Linked DNA regions of Saccharomyces cerevisiae S288C. The protein of the gene in region 3 purifies or fractionates together with the protein of the main gene of each other region. This does not show direct contact. Each region holds a gene or a part of one and is shown on either strand. Other genes may lie near its edges. The genes, in order: UTP13, UTP10, IMP4 and PWP2.

What was found.
Region 1: the proteins of IMP4 (region 3) and UTP13 purify together in Saccharomyces cerevisiae (affinity purification with mass spectrometry; 3 studies listed by BioGRID). This does not show direct contact.
Region 2: the proteins of IMP4 (region 3) and UTP10 purify together in Saccharomyces cerevisiae (affinity purification with mass spectrometry; 5 studies listed by BioGRID). This does not show direct contact.
Region 4: the proteins of IMP4 (region 3) and PWP2 purify together in Saccharomyces cerevisiae (affinity purification with mass spectrometry; 7 studies listed by BioGRID). This does not show direct contact.

Annotation. Positions count from the first base shown.
Region 1 is NC_001144.5:578,790-583,646, reverse strand, and holds UTP13 (U3 snoRNA-associated protein UTP13), read left to right. Parts: upstream 1-1,875; coding exon 1,876-4,329; downstream 4,330-4,857. Other genes in the region: IFH1 (Ifh1p), read left to right, coding at 1-1,414; RSA3 (Rsa3p), read left to right, coding at 4,623-4,857. UniProt on the Saccharomyces cerevisiae protein: Involved in nucleolar processing of pre-18S ribosomal RNA.
Region 2 is NC_001142.9:211,495-219,167, forward strand, and holds UTP10 (snoRNA-binding rRNA-processing protein UTP10), read right to left. Parts: upstream 5,816-7,673; coding exon 506-5,815; downstream 1-505. Other genes in the region: GZF3 (Gzf3p), read right to left, coding at 1-83; pheromone-regulated protein PRM10, read right to left, coding at 6,211-7,362; YJL107C (uncharacterized protein), read right to left, coding at 7,359-7,673. UniProt on the Saccharomyces cerevisiae protein: Involved in nucleolar processing of pre-18S ribosomal RNA. Required for optimal pre-ribosomal RNA transcription by RNA polymerase I together with a subset of U3 proteins required for transcription (t-UTPs). Involved in ribosome biosynthesis.
Region 3 is NC_001146.8:483,833-487,016, forward strand, and holds IMP4 (snoRNA-binding rRNA-processing protein IMP4), read left to right. Parts: upstream 1-1,774; coding exon 1,775-2,647; downstream 2,648-3,184. Other genes in the region: MKS1 (Mks1p), read left to right, coding at 1-1,478; MLF3 (Mlf3p), read right to left, coding at 2,934-3,184. UniProt on the Saccharomyces cerevisiae protein: Required for the early cleavages at sites A0, A1 and A2 during 18S ribosomal pre-RNA processing.
Region 4 is NC_001135.5:219,912-224,928, reverse strand, and holds PWP2 (snoRNA-binding rRNA-processing protein PWP2), read left to right. Parts: upstream 1-1,700; coding exon 1,701-4,472; downstream 4,473-5,017. Other genes in the region: TAH1 (Tah1p), read right to left, coding at 195-530; YIH1 (Yih1p), read left to right, coding at 699-1,475; CTR86 (Ctr86p), read left to right, coding at 4,862-5,017. UniProt on the Saccharomyces cerevisiae protein: Required for bud-site selection and cell separation. Also involved in nucleolar processing of pre-18S ribosomal RNA.

The DNA.
Region 1 (4,857 bases), on a different chromosome or scaffold from region 3:
CGACGACGATGATTCCAGCGTGACAAATGTGTTCATAGACATCGATGATTTAGATCCAGACTCTTTTTACTTTCATTACGACAGCGATGGATCTTCCTCTTTGATAAGTTCTAACTCAGACAAAGAAAATTCTGATGGATCCAAAGATTGCAAACATGATCTCTTAGAGACTGTTGTGTACGTTGATGACGAATCCACAGATGAAGATGATAACCTACCGCCCCCAAGTTCAAGGTCAAAAAACATTGGCTCAAAAGCAAAGGAAATCGTAAGTTCAAATGTTGTTGGATTACGTCCACCAAAATTGGGTACTTGGGAGACGGACAACAAACCTTTTAGTATTATTGATGGTCTGTCTACTAAATCATTATACGCCTTAATCCAAGAACATCAACAGCTTCGCGAGCAACATCAAAGGGCTCAAACCCCAGATGTTAAAAGAGAGGGAAGCTCTAATGGCAATAACGGTGACGAATTGACACTCAATGAGCTGCTAAACATGAGTGAATTGGAGGATGATTCACCATCCCACACAGACGATATGGAGAACAATTACAATGATGCAATTAATAGCAAAAGCACAAATGGCCATGCTGCAGATTGGTATGAAGTTCCTAAGGTTCCATTATCTGCATTTAGAAATAAGGGTATTAATGCCTATGAAGAAGATGAGTACATGATACCAGCAAATTCTAACAGAAAAGTTCCCATTGGCTATATTGGTAATGAAAGAACAAGAAAGAAGATTGATAAGATGAAAGAGCTACAACGGAAAAAAACTGAAAAAAAAAGGCAGTTAAAGAAAAAAAAGAAGCTTCTTAAAATAAGAAAGCAAAGACAAAAGGCAATAAAGGAGCAAGAAACTATGAATTTACAATTGGGAATCAATGGCCATGAGATCATCGGTAACAATAACAGCCATAGCGACATAAATACCGGTACCGATTTTACAACCAATGAAAATACCCCTATGAATGAACTTCCCTCTCACGCACCTGAAGATGCGTCATTAATACCTCATAATTCTGATCTTGCCGTGGACAGCAATACAAGGAAAAATTCAACAAAAAGTGTTGGTTTAGATGAAATTCATGAGATTTTGGGCAAAGATGAAAATGACTTACTGTCTGTAGGTGATATTAACGGTTATGATGCACAAGAAGGTCATGTGATCGAAGATACTGACGCCGATATCCTAGCATCGTTAACCGCTCCTGTGCAATTCGACAATACATTAAGCCATGAAAATAGTAATTCCATGTGGAGAAGAAGGCAAAGTATGGTGGAAGCAGCGGCTGAAAATCTTCGTTTCACTAAAAATGGTTTATTTAGTGAGAGTGCATTGGCAGATATCGAAGGAATTATGGGCAATGATGTTAACCATTCATTCGAATTCAATGACGTCTTACAATGAGCTATTTTGCATTTTTTTATGGTTACTACAATCAAATCACCTTTCGTTTACAATATCATCATCAGTATGTGACTTTGCCTTATTCTACTCTGAATTTTGCTTTATCGTTGGTTGAAAAGAATTACATGTTATTTTTTTACTTATATATGCATATTTTTATAGAAAAACACAATCAATATTTTTTTTACTGGTATAATCCGTCCAATCAGACGTATAAAAGTAAATAAGCCTCAAGCAACCCCATTTGATGGATTGCCTTACTCTTCGACTCTAGTTGAGATGATAACCTCATCCACTCTTCTGGCGATTAAGATGGAGCTTCTTAATATATCCGTGTAAAGCGACTGAAAATTTTCTGAAAAATTCAGCTCATCGCTCTCAGATATAATAGCGGTATGGCATTAAAGGTGTGAACCAACAACATAGTACTCTCAACGGTAGTAAGCCATACTACGTACAATATGGATCTGAAAACCTCATATAAAGGTATATCGTTAAACCCTATTTATGCAGGAAGCAGTGCTGTTGCCACTGTTTCAGAAAATGGTAAAATACTAGCTACTCCGGTGCTTGACGAAATCAACATAATCGATTTAACCCCAGGCTCCAGAAAAATTTTGCACAAGATTTCTAATGAAGACGAGCAAGAAATTACTGCACTGAAATTAACTCCTGATGGTCAATATCTCACGTATGTTTCACAAGCTCAGCTTTTAAAAATCTTTCACCTTAAGACCGGGAAAGTTGTCAGATCAATGAAAATCTCTTCTCCATCGTACATTCTCGACGCAGATTCCACTTCAACGCTTCTCGCAGTCGGAGGGACAGATGGTAGTATAATTGTTGTGGATATTGAAAATGGTTACATTACTCATTCGTTCAAAGGTCATGGTGGTACAATTTCCAGTTTGAAGTTTTATGGACAATTGAATAGTAAAATATGGTTATTAGCATCCGGTGACACCAATGGTATGGTAAAGGTTTGGGATCTTGTTAAAAGGAAGTGCTTGCACACATTACAAGAGCACACATCTGCTGTGAGAGGGTTGGATATCATTGAGGTACCAGATAATGATGAGCCAAGCCTAAATTTACTTTCCGGTGGTAGAGACGATATCATCAATCTCTGGGATTTCAATATGAAAAAGAAATGTAAATTGTTGAAAACACTTCCAGTAAATCAACAGGTAGAGTCATGCGGATTCCTAAAGGATGGTGACGGTAAACGCATAATTTATACAGCCGGCGGTGATGCTATCTTTCAGTTAATTGACTCTGAATCTGGTAGCGTGCTTAAAAGAACCAATAAACCTATAGAAGAGTTATTCATTATTGGTGTACTTCCAATATTGAGCAATTCACAGATGTTTTTAGTATTGTCTGACCAGACATTACAACTAATTAACGTTGAAGAAGACTTAAAGAATGATGAAGACACAATACAGGTCACTTCGAGCATTGCTGGTAATCATGGTATTATTGCTGACATGAGGTATGTTGGCCCAGAGCTGAATAAATTAGCTTTAGCTACCAATTCTCCATCGCTTAGGATAATACCCGTCCCCGATTTATCAGGCCCAGAAGCTTCGCTGCCTTTGGATGTCGAAATTTATGAAGGTCATGAAGATTTGCTAAATTCATTGGATGCTACTGAGGATGGCCTGTGGATCGCAACCGCCTCTAAAGATAATACGGCTATTGTTTGGAGATACAATGAGAACAGCTGCAAGTTTGATATTTATGCCAAGTATATTGGTCATTCAGCTGCCGTAACTGCTGTTGGATTGCCAAATATAGTTTCAAAGGGATATCCTGAATTTTTATTGACAGCATCGAATGATTTAACAATTAAGAAATGGATAATTCCAAAGCCAACTGCTAGTATGGATGTTCAAATCATCAAGGTATCCGAATATACTCGTCATGCCCATGAAAAGGATATCAATGCTTTGTCAGTTTCTCCTAACGATTCTATTTTTGCAACAGCATCATACGACAAGACCTGTAAGATCTGGAACCTAGAAAATGGTGAATTGGAAGCCACGTTGGCCAACCACAAGCGTGGACTATGGGATGTATCATTTTGCCAATATGATAAATTATTGGCAACTTCTTCAGGTGATAAAACAGTCAAGATATGGTCATTGGATACATTCAGCGTTATGAAAACATTGGAAGGTCATACCAATGCGGTTCAAAGATGTTCGTTTATTAATAAGCAAAAACAACTGATCAGTTGTGGTGCTGATGGCTTGATCAAAATATGGGATTGTTCTAGCGGTGAATGTCTGAAGACTTTGGATGGTCATAATAATAGATTATGGGCTTTAAGTACTATGAATGATGGTGATATGATCGTAAGTGCTGATGCAGATGGTGTTTTTCAGTTTTGGAAAGATTGTACGGAACAAGAAATAGAAGAAGAACAAGAAAAAGCTAAATTACAAGTCGAACAAGAACAATCGCTTCAAAATTATATGAGCAAAGGTGATTGGACAAATGCATTTTTGTTAGCAATGACTTTAGATCACCCAATGAGGTTGTTTAATGTTTTGAAAAGAGCTTTGGGCGAATCAAGGTCTAGACAAGATACCGAAGAGGGCAAAATTGAAGTCATTTTCAATGAAGAATTGGACCAAGCCATCTCTATCCTAAATGATGAACAGTTAATTTTGTTAATGAAACGATGCAGAGATTGGAATACAAATGCAAAAACACATACCATAGCGCAAAGAACAATAAGATGTATTTTGATGCATCATAACATAGCAAAATTGAGTGAGATACCCGGAATGGTAAAGATAGTTGATGCAATAATTCCATACACGCAAAGGCATTTCACAAGGGTTGATAACTTAGTTGAACAAAGTTACATATTAGACTACGCGCTAGTGGAAATGGATAAGCTATTCTAGGCAGTAAGTCCAAGATATTGAGCCTTTAAAAGCAAGGCAATAGCAACATATTATTTTGTAAACTAGATATATAAAGACAAAATGCATTGATGAAGCGGAAAGCTTAAAATAATTCGATATATAATTAGGTGCCTTTACGGGCATTGAAAACTTCTTTGCGCGAAGAGCTCATCACTAAAAATTTGCAAAAAACGAAGAGCGAAAACTTTCATATATTGTAGTAATATATACAAGAATTTAAACTGCCCACTTGAAATAGCACGGAAAGAACTAGCCATAATATATTATACAGGATGTCGGCAGGTGATATATCAGCCATAAATATCAAGTCTGTCAAAAAAAACAGAAGGAGGAAGAAGAGAAGAACAGCTGATGTTTCATCATCAGATTCTTCATCATCGGATCCATCATCAGAAAGTGAAAAGGAGGAAATCCAAAATGGGGCCATCGAAGAACACGTTGGAGAAAATGGTAAAAGTGATCATGTTTTCTCAAAAGGTAATGACGAAGACAAACAAGAGGACATTG
Region 2 (7,673 bases), on a different chromosome or scaffold from region 3:
AGGTTTTCACTTGATTTTGGTTCAAATACATTATCTCGTTTTCTAATGTTATAGCCTCGAAGAGTTGTAGCCTGCGATGCCATAATATTACCAGTAGAATTGTAGAGCACAGTACAAATACCCGAAATGATATTCGTATATCTAGTATTATAGCTTCAACCGCTTGCAATATGTTCTCTTTCAAACTACCTTATTATCAAGCCTATATCTTATTTTTCACTGATTAGGATTGATAAGCGCAGATAAGCGAAGATAAGAAAATTTTCACTCTGTTCGCCCGCTATTTAGGATCAGTAATTTTAGTAACGTTAATCACTAGGAACGACGAGAAAGATGACAGAATAATATCTCATTGAAACTTGAAGTAGCGTAATTGAAATATTAAGTTCAAACTCAGAAAGGGGCAGCTATCACGAATGAATAACAATATTTTCAATGAAAGATTTCGTTCAACAGCATAGTGTTTTACTTTACAAAAATTTACATAATACTTCACCTTTTTTTTCTAATCTAAATACCTATCAAAAGGTTCCCCTAAAACGTTTTCAACAACCTTGACCAAACCGGTCCTGACTTCACGTTCGATCTCTTCATCATCATCTTCCAATAACTCAGCGATGACGGGAACGAGCTGTGGCAATAGAACTAACCAACTTTCACCTATCTTTGAGTATATCAACTTCATGGCTCTAATAGCCCATAATTTTTCATTGGAGGAACAGGAAGCTTTCATGTGTTCAACGATTAGTTTATTCAAAATTTGGTTATGCTCATCAACGCCACTATTGTTAGAAGCCAGAGCGCCAATTGCCTTGACCAGGTACTTCCCAATAGAGTTTTCTATATTAGATAGTTGATTGACCAAGGATACAGAAATTAACTCGAATCTGGAAGTTGATTTCCAGTATTCGTCTCTATCAAACTTTAGCGAAGAGGTTAGAGAGTTGATTACCAAACGTCTTAAATTAACGTTTTCCATGTCCTTGCTAATGAATCTTTTTAACAACATATCAACAGGTTCTAACAAATACGTGAAATAGGAAGTAATTATACCTCTCAAATTTTCTTGAAGCTTGTTGAAAAATTTGAAAAATGCCAACAGTCTTTCTGTTTCAGTGATACCTGCATTTGTAACGCCTTCACCGTCAAACGCCCATCTTACTAATATAACAAATAGCGGTCTAAATACTTTGTCATTCATCTTCAGGACGTAAGAGTTGGAAATTTCGTGAACGGATGCCTCTATCCTACTAATTGTATTATTATCGAAACTGGAAATGGATCTAAATTCGAATAAAGATAATAGTAACTTAAAAAATATTGGCGATTGTGAGGTTGCGGATTTTTTATCAATATTTTCAACAGTGGATTCTAATGTACTCAAAAATAGACTAACAGCAACTGTATCATTGGACGTTGCTATTTCAGTGGACCAAATTCTGAATAAAACTTTCAAAACTTCCTTCAAATCTATATTCTCAATTATCAATGAAATTACTGACAGCCTAATGCTGCTGTCAACTTCACGGGAAAAATAAATAACATGCAAAACATCCAAAATATTTGACATCAAGAAACTTGGTATCCTTTTGATTAGACCGGCGAACAGCAACAGTATAGCAACTTGCAACTGCTCTTTTAATGGGTTACTACTATCTGCCAATGAAGCATCAAATAATTTAATAGAAGGTGGGACTATTTTTGGATAGAACGCAATTGACTTGACTCCTAAAACTTGAACACAGTTAGTTATCAATGCCAACGAAGATATCTTGACCTCTGTCATATCAGAACTAACTTTTTCAGTAGCAAGGGTGAGGGCTTGAGTTAATATGGACCCCTCAAGCTTCTTACCATATTTGCTCACTAAAGCCGTCATCGTGTTCAATATTACTTGAGAAATAACAACAGATTTAGATTCCAAAGGCATTCTGTCGAGCAAAACCTTCATCACATTGTTAACTATAGGAATAGCTTCAGAGCCTTCTAACTCGAATTTGGACCCTATTACCAACGTTAGGTGGTATCTAATATCTTCATTAGTGGATGTACTGAGTAAGGGTAATACCGCATTAACAAACTCGTCAACTGGTAGAATTTGTAACACATTGCCAAGCACCTTGAATAGAATCTCCTTTATTTCAGTCGTGTGATCTGATAATGATGTTTCAGAGTCGGAAGCTTCCTCATTTTCTTGGGAAGTTATACATGAAAAGGTTAATTCTACAGAATTAATGAAAAAAAGAACACCTTCTAAAAGGGTTCCAAATTCTTCCCTGATGTTTCTAATTAACTTTTTATCGCTTGTTTCATCTAACAAAACAGAATATACCTTTAGTCTTAAATTTCTCCTCACATCGTAATAATCTTGATCTGTTTCCTCGGTTATTTTATTGATAAACTCAAAGGTATTGTTCATAAATGTCAAAAATTCACTTTCCGAAAAATTCAAGACACCATTTGAAAACAAGACACGGGATTCTAGTGATTTCTTCTTTTCCGAGGAGCTCTTTGATGATGTCAACAATTTGATGATATCGAGTAAGTCATTCAAACCTGATAATTCCTCATTGACATGTAGATCAACGAGTAGGGCCTTAATAAACTCAATTAATATTCTTGCCTCGCCAATTTTAAAGTTGACTAAAGCTGAAGAATACTGTTGTGCAATCAAGAAAAGGAACGAGCCCAGTGCCTTTACTGGATCAAGTGTTTTGATTAACGTAGAAAATAATTTAACCCTCCTATGTCTTGGAACATGTTGCAAAGCGGTTGTGAAGCTCAACAAAAGGAACTCCATTTCCTCTTTTTCATTTCCTTTGCTATTCTTGATCAAGGCAGGGACAACAGTTAGTATCGTACGCTCAACAACTTTAGTTGTGAATTCATCATCTTGACGAATACTATGGGCTCCCATAAAAGTAAAGATAGGCATTACAGAATGCAAAATAACTTCCGAACTTAAAGTAGCAAGAGATCCAATTACAAGTAATAGTTTGTTTTGGACTTGCGGAGATGCAGAATTTCTAATAGCGGATACCAATATATCTGCCCTTACGTTGGTTAGTTCTGTACAGCCATGTTCCTTCAAGTATGTGATAGTGTTCAGCGTACAAGAAATCAAAGTTTCTTGCGCATATAAAACCGGTAATCCACCGTCTTGATCCAAAGTTTCCAGATCTGATAATAAGGAAAGTAAAGTGAACAAAAGCTTTTCGGATCCAACATTTCTGACTTTATCAAGTGCTTCCAAAATAATCGTCAACTTTCTCAGGTGCAATTCCGCCAGTTGCGAAACCTCCTCTTTCAAAAATGCGTTTTTACTTGTTGATGAACGTCTTCTTCTTCTTTTAGAAAAGTCTGTCTGATCCATTTCGTTACTGATACTGTTTTGATTTAGTATGGATACAAAAATATCGGAATCTAACGGCAATGATTGTAGTACACCGACTGTATCGTACGATGATTCTACGTTACTCGAAGAATCCACGATATTTTGGACGATTTTTAGTTTTTGAGCATTATTTAATGAAGCGAATATGCTGATAAGCCTCTCGGCAGCTATGTTAGCTAACTGCTCATAATCTGAGTTAAGAGCACTGAGAACAAAATCGATCATGAATGACTGCTTTTCTTTTGGTGATACCAAATTAACTAAAGAGCGCTCAAAATGCTCAAAGTTTGTTTTATTAGCAATACAACTCTTTTCCCAACTAGATCTGTTTTCTAAGTAGTGGGAAATAAATTCCTCAAATAGGGAGGAATAAGAAGATGCATAAGTCGGACTCTTGTTCAGGTTATCCAACAACACTGTCTTGGCATACGGAGAAGGTATTAGTAGGGCTTGATTAGCCCAAAACATCAAAAAGACTTTTTCATTTCTCTTTGGCGTTAAAATTCTGGATATGTCATAATTCTCAGTAACGTACTCATTCAAAAATCCTGATAACCATGCCTCACTATCTTTGGGATTTAACATAGGAATGGTAACGTTCTCTCCGTAAAGTTTATCAGACAAAAAGTAGTGCTTAGTGGATGGTCTTTTAGCAATCAAGGAAAGAATCTTCTTCACGCCAGTCCTAACTTTTATAGAAGCATCTCGCAAAGCGCAAATCAAGCATGGAACTAAAGTAAAAATATTAACTTCCTTTTCAATACTATTAATATATTTTGCAATATTGTTTAAAGATATTAGCTTTAGCGCGGTTGGAGCGGCTGGAGATATAGTTACTCTTAACAAAAACGTTATTCTTGATTCTAAAGTAGTGAAAAATGAAGTCAAGAAGGAACTTGCTTTATAGCCTTTACCAATAGCTTCAGTGAATAAAGATAAAACCTTTTTGTATCTTTCTCCAGTTTCTGTTAGCATGGACACATTCGTTGTGTTTATCAATTCTGAATGCTTATCCAAGAATGTTTGAAATGAAGCGGTATCCTTTTTAGTAGTTTCCACGGGGTCGCTTAACTGCTTTACAATGTCGGTGTTAACATCGGCATTAGTGAACAAAGATGTAGTAAGCCTGATTTCGAAGAGTTCGCCTGTCAGTCCCAATGATTTCAAACATTTTAACACCAAATCTTCATTTATGGAGATAAAATATTCGAATAGTTCTACTAATTGTGACTTGTCCTCTAAAATTTCGGAAAGGTAAATCAAATCAGTGATTATCAACCTAACTTCGTATCTTTCTAGTCTTATTTTTTTTAGTAGGCTAAGAATAATGTTCAATTTGGACCGATCATACCTTGCTATGGATCTTGTATAGGAAGTAATGAATTTATCACAAACTGGTTTGTCTTCCTTATCTAAGAAGGTTAGTATAGACACAGTGTCGAACTTGCTATCAAATAACTTGAAAATTTTGGAAGGTAGCTGATCTACGTTACCTTGTCCTTTTAATGTTTGGAACAGCTTACAAATCGTGAGGAGTGCTGAATGTTTTGCCTCTTTAGCATCTAAGTTTGAAAGAATGGTTTCCATGGCAGCTAAGATAATTGTTTTCTTTAAAGGCAAAGCTGTAGCAAATACAACTAATATGGTATGTGCAGCTATTTGACAATCCTTTGATTTAGAGGCTAAAAGTTTAGCAGATATTTCAAGTAAGATTGGAACAAGCTGATTCAGTTTTTCATCGTTGTTTGAATTGAAAGCAACAACGTTAATAAAGCAGCATGTTGTAAATAAAAGCTGGTTAGTATACGTTGCATTATGCTTAATACATTGATCCAAATAACTGGTATAAAGTTTCAGAAAATCCATGTCATTAAAGAGCTTTATCATGGTTAGCGCCGTTGGGGGCTTTTCACTTCTAACAAAATTCGACAAACAATTAAACAAAGGGGGCAACTTAATAATGCTGAGAATTCTCTTAAAGACAGGTGTTTGGTAGTAGTTGAGAGTGGACAAAAGCAGCATCTCTGTGTTTTTAACATGTATTTGAAAACGACGAACCAACCATTCTGTTGCATGTAGTGTAGGTGCTAAATACCATTTAGAAGAAGCCAATAGCAAGTAAGCATTGATAGCATTATCCAAATCTTTAATTTCTTCTTTTGTTTGGACATTTCTATCAAGAGAAATGGAAGACTCTGAAAAGAGTGTTCTTGAGAAAATGGCAAATTTTGGCTCAATTTGGCTCAATTCTTCAAGAGCCTTACTAGCGTTTTCAAAAATGAAATCGTAATCTTGTGTTGCAGCCGTCTTTGAGTTATAAATCAAAGAAGCAGAATGAAGTTTTTGTCTTCTCTTTCTATCCAACGCAACAGTAGCATTGTTGGAAGCAACTTGAGCTAATTGGTCACTCAACGAAGACATTTTCAAAGTTATTCGTACTTTGGTGGCCAGTTAGATAAGTCTGATTCTGAAAGGTAATAAAGAAAGTATTTGTTACACCTTCGAAAATATCTAGCTCATCGCTAACTGAAAATTTTTTTCTTTGCTTAACGCAGAAAGAAAAAAGAAAAAAAAAAAAGTCATGTGACTTGAATATTATTAATCTATGTATGTTATGATTATTGGCTATGAAACCATAAAATTGAAAAAAAGGATTCATAAGCTGATATGTTATTTGTACTTAATGCTATATTTATAATTTACTTTTGAAATTTTTCTTAGTGGGTCAAAGTCTTCTTTGATACTGAAGAATGACCCAATGGCAACACTTGGTCCATTGGTTAACAAGTTTCTAACGAAGTGGACCTTGTGAGAGCTTATAAACTGAAAAGACCAGTTTTCTTTTTACCAAAGGGGTAGACAAAGAGTGAAGAAGCAAATAGTCCCACAGAAATACCGACACAAACTTGAATCATTGTCATACCAAATGACATTGAGGACGATGGATCGGAGGTGCTTGTCGTAATGGTTTCATTAGCATTAACAATTGTATTTGCACTTTGCAACCCAGACAACAACGAATTTTGTGAAGCAATACCAGATGGCACTTGAACGAAGATTGCGGGAAGCATAGCTGATACCGCTAAACCTTTCCAAATTCTGGAATATAGATTACCTAAAACACCTATGACAAATGCAGCTAAGGCGGCAGTAAACTCTGTCGAATTCGCAAAATGCTTACCGGCCCAATATGTTACGACATAACCGGTGCAAGAAATGAAGACCATAACTGGCAGTTGTGAGATGTGTGCTTGATTTAATAACGAGATACTAATGGTAAACGCTGGAACGAAGAGGAACCTGAACCACGGAGAAATTAATTGAGGACATGAAATTTCGTTAGTGGCATTGTGATACATCCATCCAAACAAAGCTGAGCCCAATGTTATGCCAAAACCCAAAAACAAAGAATAAATAATGGCGTAGAACATACGGACCGCGCCAGCAACTAGGCTTCGACTTTGCAGTTCTAGTGCACCACACAGAATAATATAACCTGGCAGGATTAATGCCAATGAGCCTTGTGTAACTGCACCAAAGCAGATGTGAGAACGAGGGATAGAGCCAAAAGCTCTACCGCAGAAGCTAACGACAATAGATGCAGAAATTTCGAAGACGTTTGAATACATGTATGACTTTTGTGAAAGAATAAATTGTAATGACCCCACACAAAGCCCCATAAAAAATGAGATTGCCAGGTTTACCCAATCGCCACCAAAGGCATACGGAGTGACCATAGCGGAACAAAATGCATATAAAAGAACACACATCCAAGGTGGATATAGATTCGTGTCAGCCAAAATTTGATCGAGTAAAGCATTACCTTCATCGGCACCTAAGGTATCATGGACAACTCTTTTGTAAACGGCATGAACTTGATGCAGCTTCCAAAGGTTTAGACCTTGAGTACACCTAACCAATTGAACTTCGGAAGTTCTTGTTGTTGCATCACCAAATGAAACAATCATACAACCTGGAAGATACAAAACTGACCATCTATTTCAAGGACTCTAGAAGTCATAACCATATATTCTTCAAGCCTATGCGTCGGAGCACCATACATCATAAGAGCTCTACACATGCGTAGGATGAACCGGTGTCTTTGTAAAATGTCTGCAATGTGAACCGTAATTTTCGCTTCAGTTTTTAGTCTTTTCTTCAGTCTAGGCATTCTGCCTTTTTTAGCCTTGCCTTTTAAATTTTGTAATCTGCTACGCTTGGCAACTGGTACGTCTTTGTTTCCAGCAGTAGAAGAAATACCTTCATCATCTGTTGTTAC
Region 3 (3,184 bases):
AACAGCCAATAAAGCCAAAGCAGGCAGCAGTAAAGCAGCCACCATTACAAAAGGCCAATTTGCCTCCCACAACGGCAAAACAGAACGTTTTAACTCGGCCAATGACATCACCAGCTATCGCACAGGGTGCTCACGATAGATCCTTGGATAATCCTAATTCTACAAACAATGATGTGAAAAATGACGTTGCTCCAAACAGACAATTCTCCAAATCTACTACGTCAGGGTTGTTTTCAAATTTTGCAGACAAATATCAAAAAATGAAAAATGTGAACCATGTTGCTAATAAGGAAGAACCACAAACTATTATCACTGGTTTTGATACAAGCACTGTTATAACCAAGAAACCTTTACAATCAAGACGCTCAAGATCACCTTTCCAGCATATAGGAGACATGAACATGAACTGCATTGATAATGAGACTTCCAAGAGTACCAGTCCTACTCTTGAAAATATGGGAAGTAGAAAATCCTCTTTTCCTCAGAAGGAATCTTTATTCGGAAGGCCAAGGTCTTACAAGAATGACCAAAATGGTCAACTGTCACTTTCGAAAACATCCTCTAGAAAAGGAAAAAACAAGATATTTTTCAGCAGTGAAGATGAAGATTCCGATTGGGACAGCGTTTCGAATGATTCAGAATTCTACGCTGATGAAGATGATGAAGAGTACGATGATTATAATGAGGAAGAAGCAGATCAGTACTATAGAAGACAATGGGACAAGCTTTTATTTGCCAAAAATCAACAGAATCTTGACTCAACGAAATCATCTGTTTCATCAGCGAACACAATCAACTCAAACACATCCCATGATCCCGTACGAAAAAGTTTACTCAGTGGACTATTCCTTAGTGAGGCAAATAGCAACAGTAATAACCACAATACTGCACATAGTGAATACGCTTCTAAACACGTTTCGCCGACTCCTCAGTCCTCTCATAGTAATATCGGTCCTCAACCGCAGCAAAATCCACCGAGCGCTAATGGTATAAAACAACAAAAACCTTCTTTGAAAACAAGCAACGTGACAGCTCTAGCATCGCTATCTCCCCCGCAACCATCCAACAATGAGCGGTTATCGATGGATATACAAAAGGACTTCAAAACTGATAATGAGTCCAATCATTTATATGAATCTAATGCTCCGCTAACTGCTCAAACTATACTGCCCACCGCCTTATCTACTCACATGTTTTTGCCAAATAACATTCACCAACAACGAATGGCGATTGCCACTGGTAGTAATACGCGACATCGTTTTTCGAGGCGGCAGTCGATGGATATCCCATCCAAGAACAGGAATACTGGGTTTTTGAAGACCAGAATGGAGATCTCTGAGGAAGAAAAGATGGTACGTACAATATCACGGCTTGACAATACGAGTATTGCAAACAGTAATGGAAATGGTAATGATGACACCTCTAATCAGAGAACGGAAGCACTGGGGCGTAAGACGAGTAATGGAGGGCGAATATGATTACTAAGTTAAATAAATCAGATACAGTATTTAAAGTTCTTTCAAAAAAAGATAATGTCATATATTTTACTATCTACGCAGTGAAAGAGTTCCTTCTAATGACACACTATTCACTTCGGGTAACGGATATTGTGTACTGAAAAATATAAAAAATTTTATCCCGGAAATGCGATGAGATGAAAATGCATGAAGTAGCGTATATATTGATTGCATGAGGTTGGACTTGAAAGGGCATATATACTCGGTTTTATCATTGATTCAAGTGTTCCCATAAATAATAAAACAGTTAAATCGAAATGCTAAGAAGACAAGCCCGTGAAAGGAGAGAATATCTATACAGAAAAGCGCAAGAATTACAAGATTCTCAACTGCAACAAAAACGTCAAATAATTAAACAAGCGCTAGCTCAGGGGAAGCCATTGCCAAAGGAACTAGCAGAAGATGAGAGTTTACAAAAGGATTTCAGATATGACCAAAGTTTAAAGGAGAGCGAAGAAGCAGATGATCTACAGGTTGATGATGAATATGCTGCCACAAGTGGTATAATGGATCCAAGAATCATCGTCACAACATCTCGTGACCCAAGCACTCGTCTCTCGCAATTTGCCAAAGAAATTAAACTGCTATTTCCAAATGCTGTCAGGCTGAACAGAGGTAATTATGTGATGCCAAATCTAGTGGATGCTTGTAAAAAATCCGGTACTACAGATTTGGTGGTATTACATGAACATAGAGGTGTTCCAACTTCTTTGACCATATCACATTTTCCACATGGACCCACTGCACAGTTTAGTTTACACAATGTTGTTATGAGACATGATATTATAAATGCTGGTAACCAAAGCGAAGTGAATCCACATCTAATATTTGATAACTTTACTACCGCTTTAGGGAAAAGAGTAGTCTGTATTTTAAAGCACTTGTTCAATGCGGGGCCCAAAAAAGATTCCGAAAGAGTAATCACTTTTGCGAATAGGGGTGATTTCATTAGCGTTAGACAGCATGTATATGTGAGAACAAGAGAGGGAGTAGAGATTGCCGAAGTTGGTCCTAGATTTGAGATGAGGTTGTTTGAACTGAGGTTGGGAACTTTAGAAAATAAGGACGCTGATGTTGAGTGGCAGTTGAGAAGATTCATAAGGACTGCCAATAAAAAAGACTATTTGTGAATTTTTTTATAGATTTGTAAAGGTTAAAATAGAAGGCCGATGAGGCCTTATGTAAGTCTAATATGGTATTCTTAAAAAAAAAAAAAAAAAAAAAGCGTCTTAGAGGGAATATAAGAGAAAAGAAGAGATAGCATAACACATGATTTATTTTTATTTTTGCGTTTTTTTTTTTTCTTAATTGTTTATCAATGTATCTGTGAGAGTATCTACATAAAAAAAATAACCATATGAAGACATAAATTTAAAAGAACAAAACGAACGAAGGGAAGAGGTGCAGAAAGGAAATTTATGTATCACAACTATTAAATTCAGTTGAAAATCCACCATTTGAAACTTTTTTCTTAAGCACTTCACTGACTTTTTCAACTCTTAACTCATGTTCGGAGGATAACGTATTAGAAGAAGACACGTAAGAAGGATCTGTTGATAAAGGCATGGGCTTGCCTATTGCTGTATATGACGAAGATGTCGATAAAGGCGTCTGGGTTGCTAATTCGGGATTACTTGCCAAGTTTGCACTTGAACGCAAAGACGAAC
Region 4 (5,017 bases), on a different chromosome or scaffold from region 3:
GAGTAAGGAGACCTTATATTGTTTTTCTCTTGGTAGAAAGTTGACGCGCGAAGAAAAACATAAAAAAAACTGACAAGATACTACTATTATTAACCATATACACGGAAATACCCACAGAGTATACAAACACACATATATATATATATATATATATAATTTTAAAGATAAATTAGAAGTGTTCCCTTTCTCTTTTCTCAGGACCGGTCGTATCCCTCCGGTAGTTCATCAACCTCTACAACAGGGATCTGTACTGAACCTACCGCTCCCTGTGCCAGCTCTAGACGATATTGCAATTTGGATCTGATAGCTACATGCTCTGCCGTTGAGGTGTACCGCAGTCCTTGCTGGCACATTTGAATAGCCTGTGTATATTCACCCAGTTTGATCAGCGCCATGGCTTTGTTGCTGTACCCGACCGGGTTCTGCGGTTGAGCAGTAATTAGTTGGTCATAACAGTGCACAGCCTCGCGATACAGGCCCTGTTTGAACAAAGAATTGCCCTGTTCCTTCTGCTTTTCAAATTGGCTCATGCTCTTTACCGTTGCTCTCTCTTTCGCAGTGCTGAAAAGAAAAAACCGTTCAAGAAAATTGCGTCTTGTGCAGTCATATACGCTGGGATATATATATATATAGATATATATACATATATATAGGAATATGTAACAAGAAAAAAAAAAGAGAGAGGAAAGAAAAGCTCAATGGATGACGATCACGAACAGTTGGTCGAAGAACTGGAGGCCGTCGAGGCCATCTATCCGGATCTTCTCTCCAAGAAGCAGGAAGACGGAAGCATCATCGTTGTGAAAGTGCCGCAGCATGAATACATGACACTGCAGATCTCCTTCCCGACACACTACCCCTCCGAGGAGGCTCCTAATGTCATCGAAGTTGGTGTCTGCACTTCTTTGGCTAAGCGCGATCTCTACGATACCAAGTACCTTCAGCATTTGTTCCAGGAAGTGATGGACTCTGTTTTCCACCGCGGATCTGTCTGTCTATTTGACTTCCTCACAGAACTCGACGGTGTCTTGTACGTTGAACCAGAGGAGGAGACAGAACCGGTCCAGCAGAGTGACATTCCCACAGACCCCTTCGAGGGCTGGACCGCGTCGGACCCCATTACTGATAGAGGCTCGACTTTCATGGCCTTTGCAGCACATGTTACCTCCGAGGAACAAGCGTTTGCCATGCTAGACCTACTGAAGACCGACTCCAAGATGCGTAAGGCAAACCATGTCATGAGTGCATGGCGAATCAAGCAGGATGGCTCTGCGGCAACATATCAAGATTCCGATGATGACGGTGAAACGGCCGCCGGCTCCAGAATGCTGCACCTCATCACCATCATGGATGTGTGGAACGTCATCGTTGTGGTGGCCCGTTGGTTCGGCGGTGCCCACATAGGTCCCGACCGGTTTAAACACATCAATTCTACGGCAAGAGAAGCTGTTGTCAGGGCCGGCTTCGACTCGTAATCATTATGATTATGTCAAGCACCTGTAACCTTGATCACATGCGACGGGAGTTCTTTTTGAAATTTTTTGGAAAAATTTTGCGATGAGCTGAAAGATGAAAAAAAAAAAAGTTTCGAGTATAGTTCTAGGTATGTACAATAACTAGTATAATATCAATAATAGTAATAATAGTATCGTTTTCAACAGGTAGACAGGAGAGCAGACCGCAGATTGAACCGCATCCCAATGAAATCCGATTTCAAGTTCTCTAACCTTTTAGGTACGGTCTACAGGCAAGGTAACATCACCTTTTCCGATGATGGCAAGCAACTACTCTCACCGGTGGGGAATAGGGTCAGCGTGTTTGACTTAATCAACAACAAATCGTTCACGTTTGAATACGAGCATCGCAAAAATATTGCTGCCATTGATCTGAACAAACAAGGCACATTGCTGATTTCTATTGACGAGGACGGTCGCGCCATCCTTGTCAATTTCAAAGCCCGTAACGTGCTTCACCATTTCAACTTCAAAGAAAAATGCTCCGCTGTGAAGTTCAGCCCTGATGGGAGACTCTTTGCATTAGCCTCAGGCAGGTTTTTACAGATTTGGAAGACTCCAGATGTTAATAAAGACAGACAGTTTGCTCCCTTCGTCCGCCATAGGGTGCATGCGGGACACTTTCAAGACATAACGTCTTTGACGTGGTCACAAGATTCCAGATTTATCCTTACGACTTCCAAAGACTTAAGCGCAAAAATATGGTCCGTAGATTCAGAGGAAAAGAACCTTGCGGCGACAACATTTAATGGGCACAGAGACTACGTTATGGGTGCGTTCTTCAGTCATGATCAGGAAAAAATCTACACTGTAAGCAAAGACGGTGCTGTCTTTGTCTGGGAATTTACCAAGAGGCCATCCGATGACGACGACAATGAAAGTGAAGACGACGACAAGCAAGAAGAAGTAGATATTTCGAAATACAGCTGGAGAATCACAAAGAAACATTTTTTTTACGCAAACCAAGCCAAAGTAAAGTGTGTCACCTTCCATCCAGCAACAAGGCTTTTAGCTGTCGGATTTACTAGTGGGGAATTCCGTCTTTACGATTTGCCTGATTTCACTTTGATTCAACAGCTTTCTATGGGGCAAAACCCAGTCAACACCGTTAGCGTCAACCAAACCGGCGAATGGCTGGCGTTTGGTTCCAGCAAACTGGGCCAATTACTAGTTTACGAATGGCAATCGGAATCGTATATCTTGAAGCAGCAGGGCCATTTCGATTCCACAAATAGTCTTGCATACTCTCCGGATGGTTCACGTGTAGTGACAGCATCCGAAGATGGGAAAATCAAAGTTTGGGACATTACATCAGGGTTTTGTTTGGCCACTTTTGAAGAACACACCTCTTCAGTTACTGCTGTACAGTTTGCGAAAAGGGGTCAGGTCATGTTCTCATCATCGTTAGATGGTACGGTGAGAGCGTGGGACTTAATCAGGTATCGTAATTTTAGAACATTCACTGGTACTGAAAGAATCCAATTCAATTGTTTAGCGGTGGATCCATCAGGTGAAGTGGTTTGTGCCGGGTCCCTGGACAATTTTGACATTCATGTTTGGTCCGTGCAAACTGGTCAATTATTAGATGCTTTGTCCGGACATGAAGGCCCTGTTTCGTGTCTTTCATTTAGTCAAGAGAACAGTGTCTTAGCTTCTGCATCATGGGATAAAACAATTAGAATCTGGTCCATATTTGGTAGAAGCCAACAAGTAGAACCTATAGAAGTTTATTCCGATGTTTTAGCCTTATCAATGAGACCAGATGGTAAAGAAGTTGCAGTATCTACCTTAAAGGGTCAAATATCCATTTTCAACATAGAAGATGCCAAGCAGGTGGGCAACATTGACTGTAGAAAGGATATAATATCTGGTAGGTTTAATCAAGATAGGTTCACTGCCAAAAATTCTGAACGATCCAAATTTTTTACTACAATACATTACAGTTTTGATGGTATGGCTATTGTGGCTGGTGGTAATAATAACTCCATTTGTCTATATGATGTTCCAAATGAAGTCTTGTTAAAAAGATTCATTGTGTCCAGAAACATGGCTTTGAATGGTACTCTCGAATTTTTAAACAGTAAGAAAATGACTGAAGCAGGTTCATTAGATTTGATTGACGATGCAGGCGAAAATTCAGATTTGGAGGATCGTATTGATAATTCTTTACCAGGGTCTCAAAGAGGTGGCGACCTGTCCACAAGAAAAATGAGACCAGAGGTTAGAGTTACTTCGGTGCAATTCTCCCCAACGGCGAATGCATTTGCCGCTGCTTCAACGGAAGGTTTATTGATATATTCCACCAATGACACGATATTATTTGATCCCTTTGATCTGGATGTGGACGTCACCCCCCATTCTACTGTAGAGGCGCTACGAGAAAAGCAGTTTTTAAATGCATTAGTAATGGCGTTCAGGTTAAATGAAGAATATTTGATCAATAAAGTCTATGAAGCCATACCTATTAAGGAAATCCCCTTGGTTGCAAGTAATATTCCTGCAATATATTTACCGAGGATTCTGAAGTTCATCGGTGATTTTGCCATTGAATCCCAACACATTGAGTTTAACCTAATTTGGATCAAAGCTCTATTATCTGCGAGCGGTGGTTACATAAATGAACACAAATATCTCTTCTCGACGGCTATGAGGTCGATACAAAGATTTATTGTTAGAGTGGCTAAGGAAGTAGTCAATACCACTACTGATAACAAATACACCTATAGATTTTTGGTATCAACTGATGGGTCCATGGAAGATGGCGCGGCTGATGATGACGAGGTTCTATTAAAAGATGACGCAGATGAAGATAACGAAGAGAACGAAGAGAACGATGTAGTCATGGAATCTGACGACGAGGAAGGATGGATTGGTTTCAATGGGAAGGATAACAAATTACCCTTGTCTAATGAAAATGATTCCAGTGATGAAGAAGAAAATGAGAAAGAGCTTCCTTGAAAAATATTCACTGTCCTCTATTTATGCACATTCACATCATGTATTCCCCAAGTATAGAACTATATAAAGCATTACATTTGTATTTAATATCAACAAAAAAAAATATCATCGCCAATATCGATATACATCATGATGAGAGCGCCTAATATAAACTGAGGCTACCATTACGGGAGTCGTCCTTTGACTGACGAGGCTATTTTCCTTATATATAAGGCATCATCGCTTCAGTAAAAAAAAAAATAGGAAGGGAAAAAATGAAGAATTGATGGGATGAGGAAAAAATTTGACACAAATTTATCGACTACCGTTTCATACTATCATCGGGAGAACAATTACACTAAGCCTTATAAAATTATTGATTCATCAAAAAAGAAGATAACTAAATAACAATGCCTATGAACAATTTTCTAGATGAATTCAATTTATTTGATTCAATCATTACCATGATGAAGAACGACCCATGTTGCGTCGAGGATTATGAGCCAATCGTCGAAAACCTGAACCGTATATTTCAAAGGACGTTTAATGATGAAGAACATAGGAAA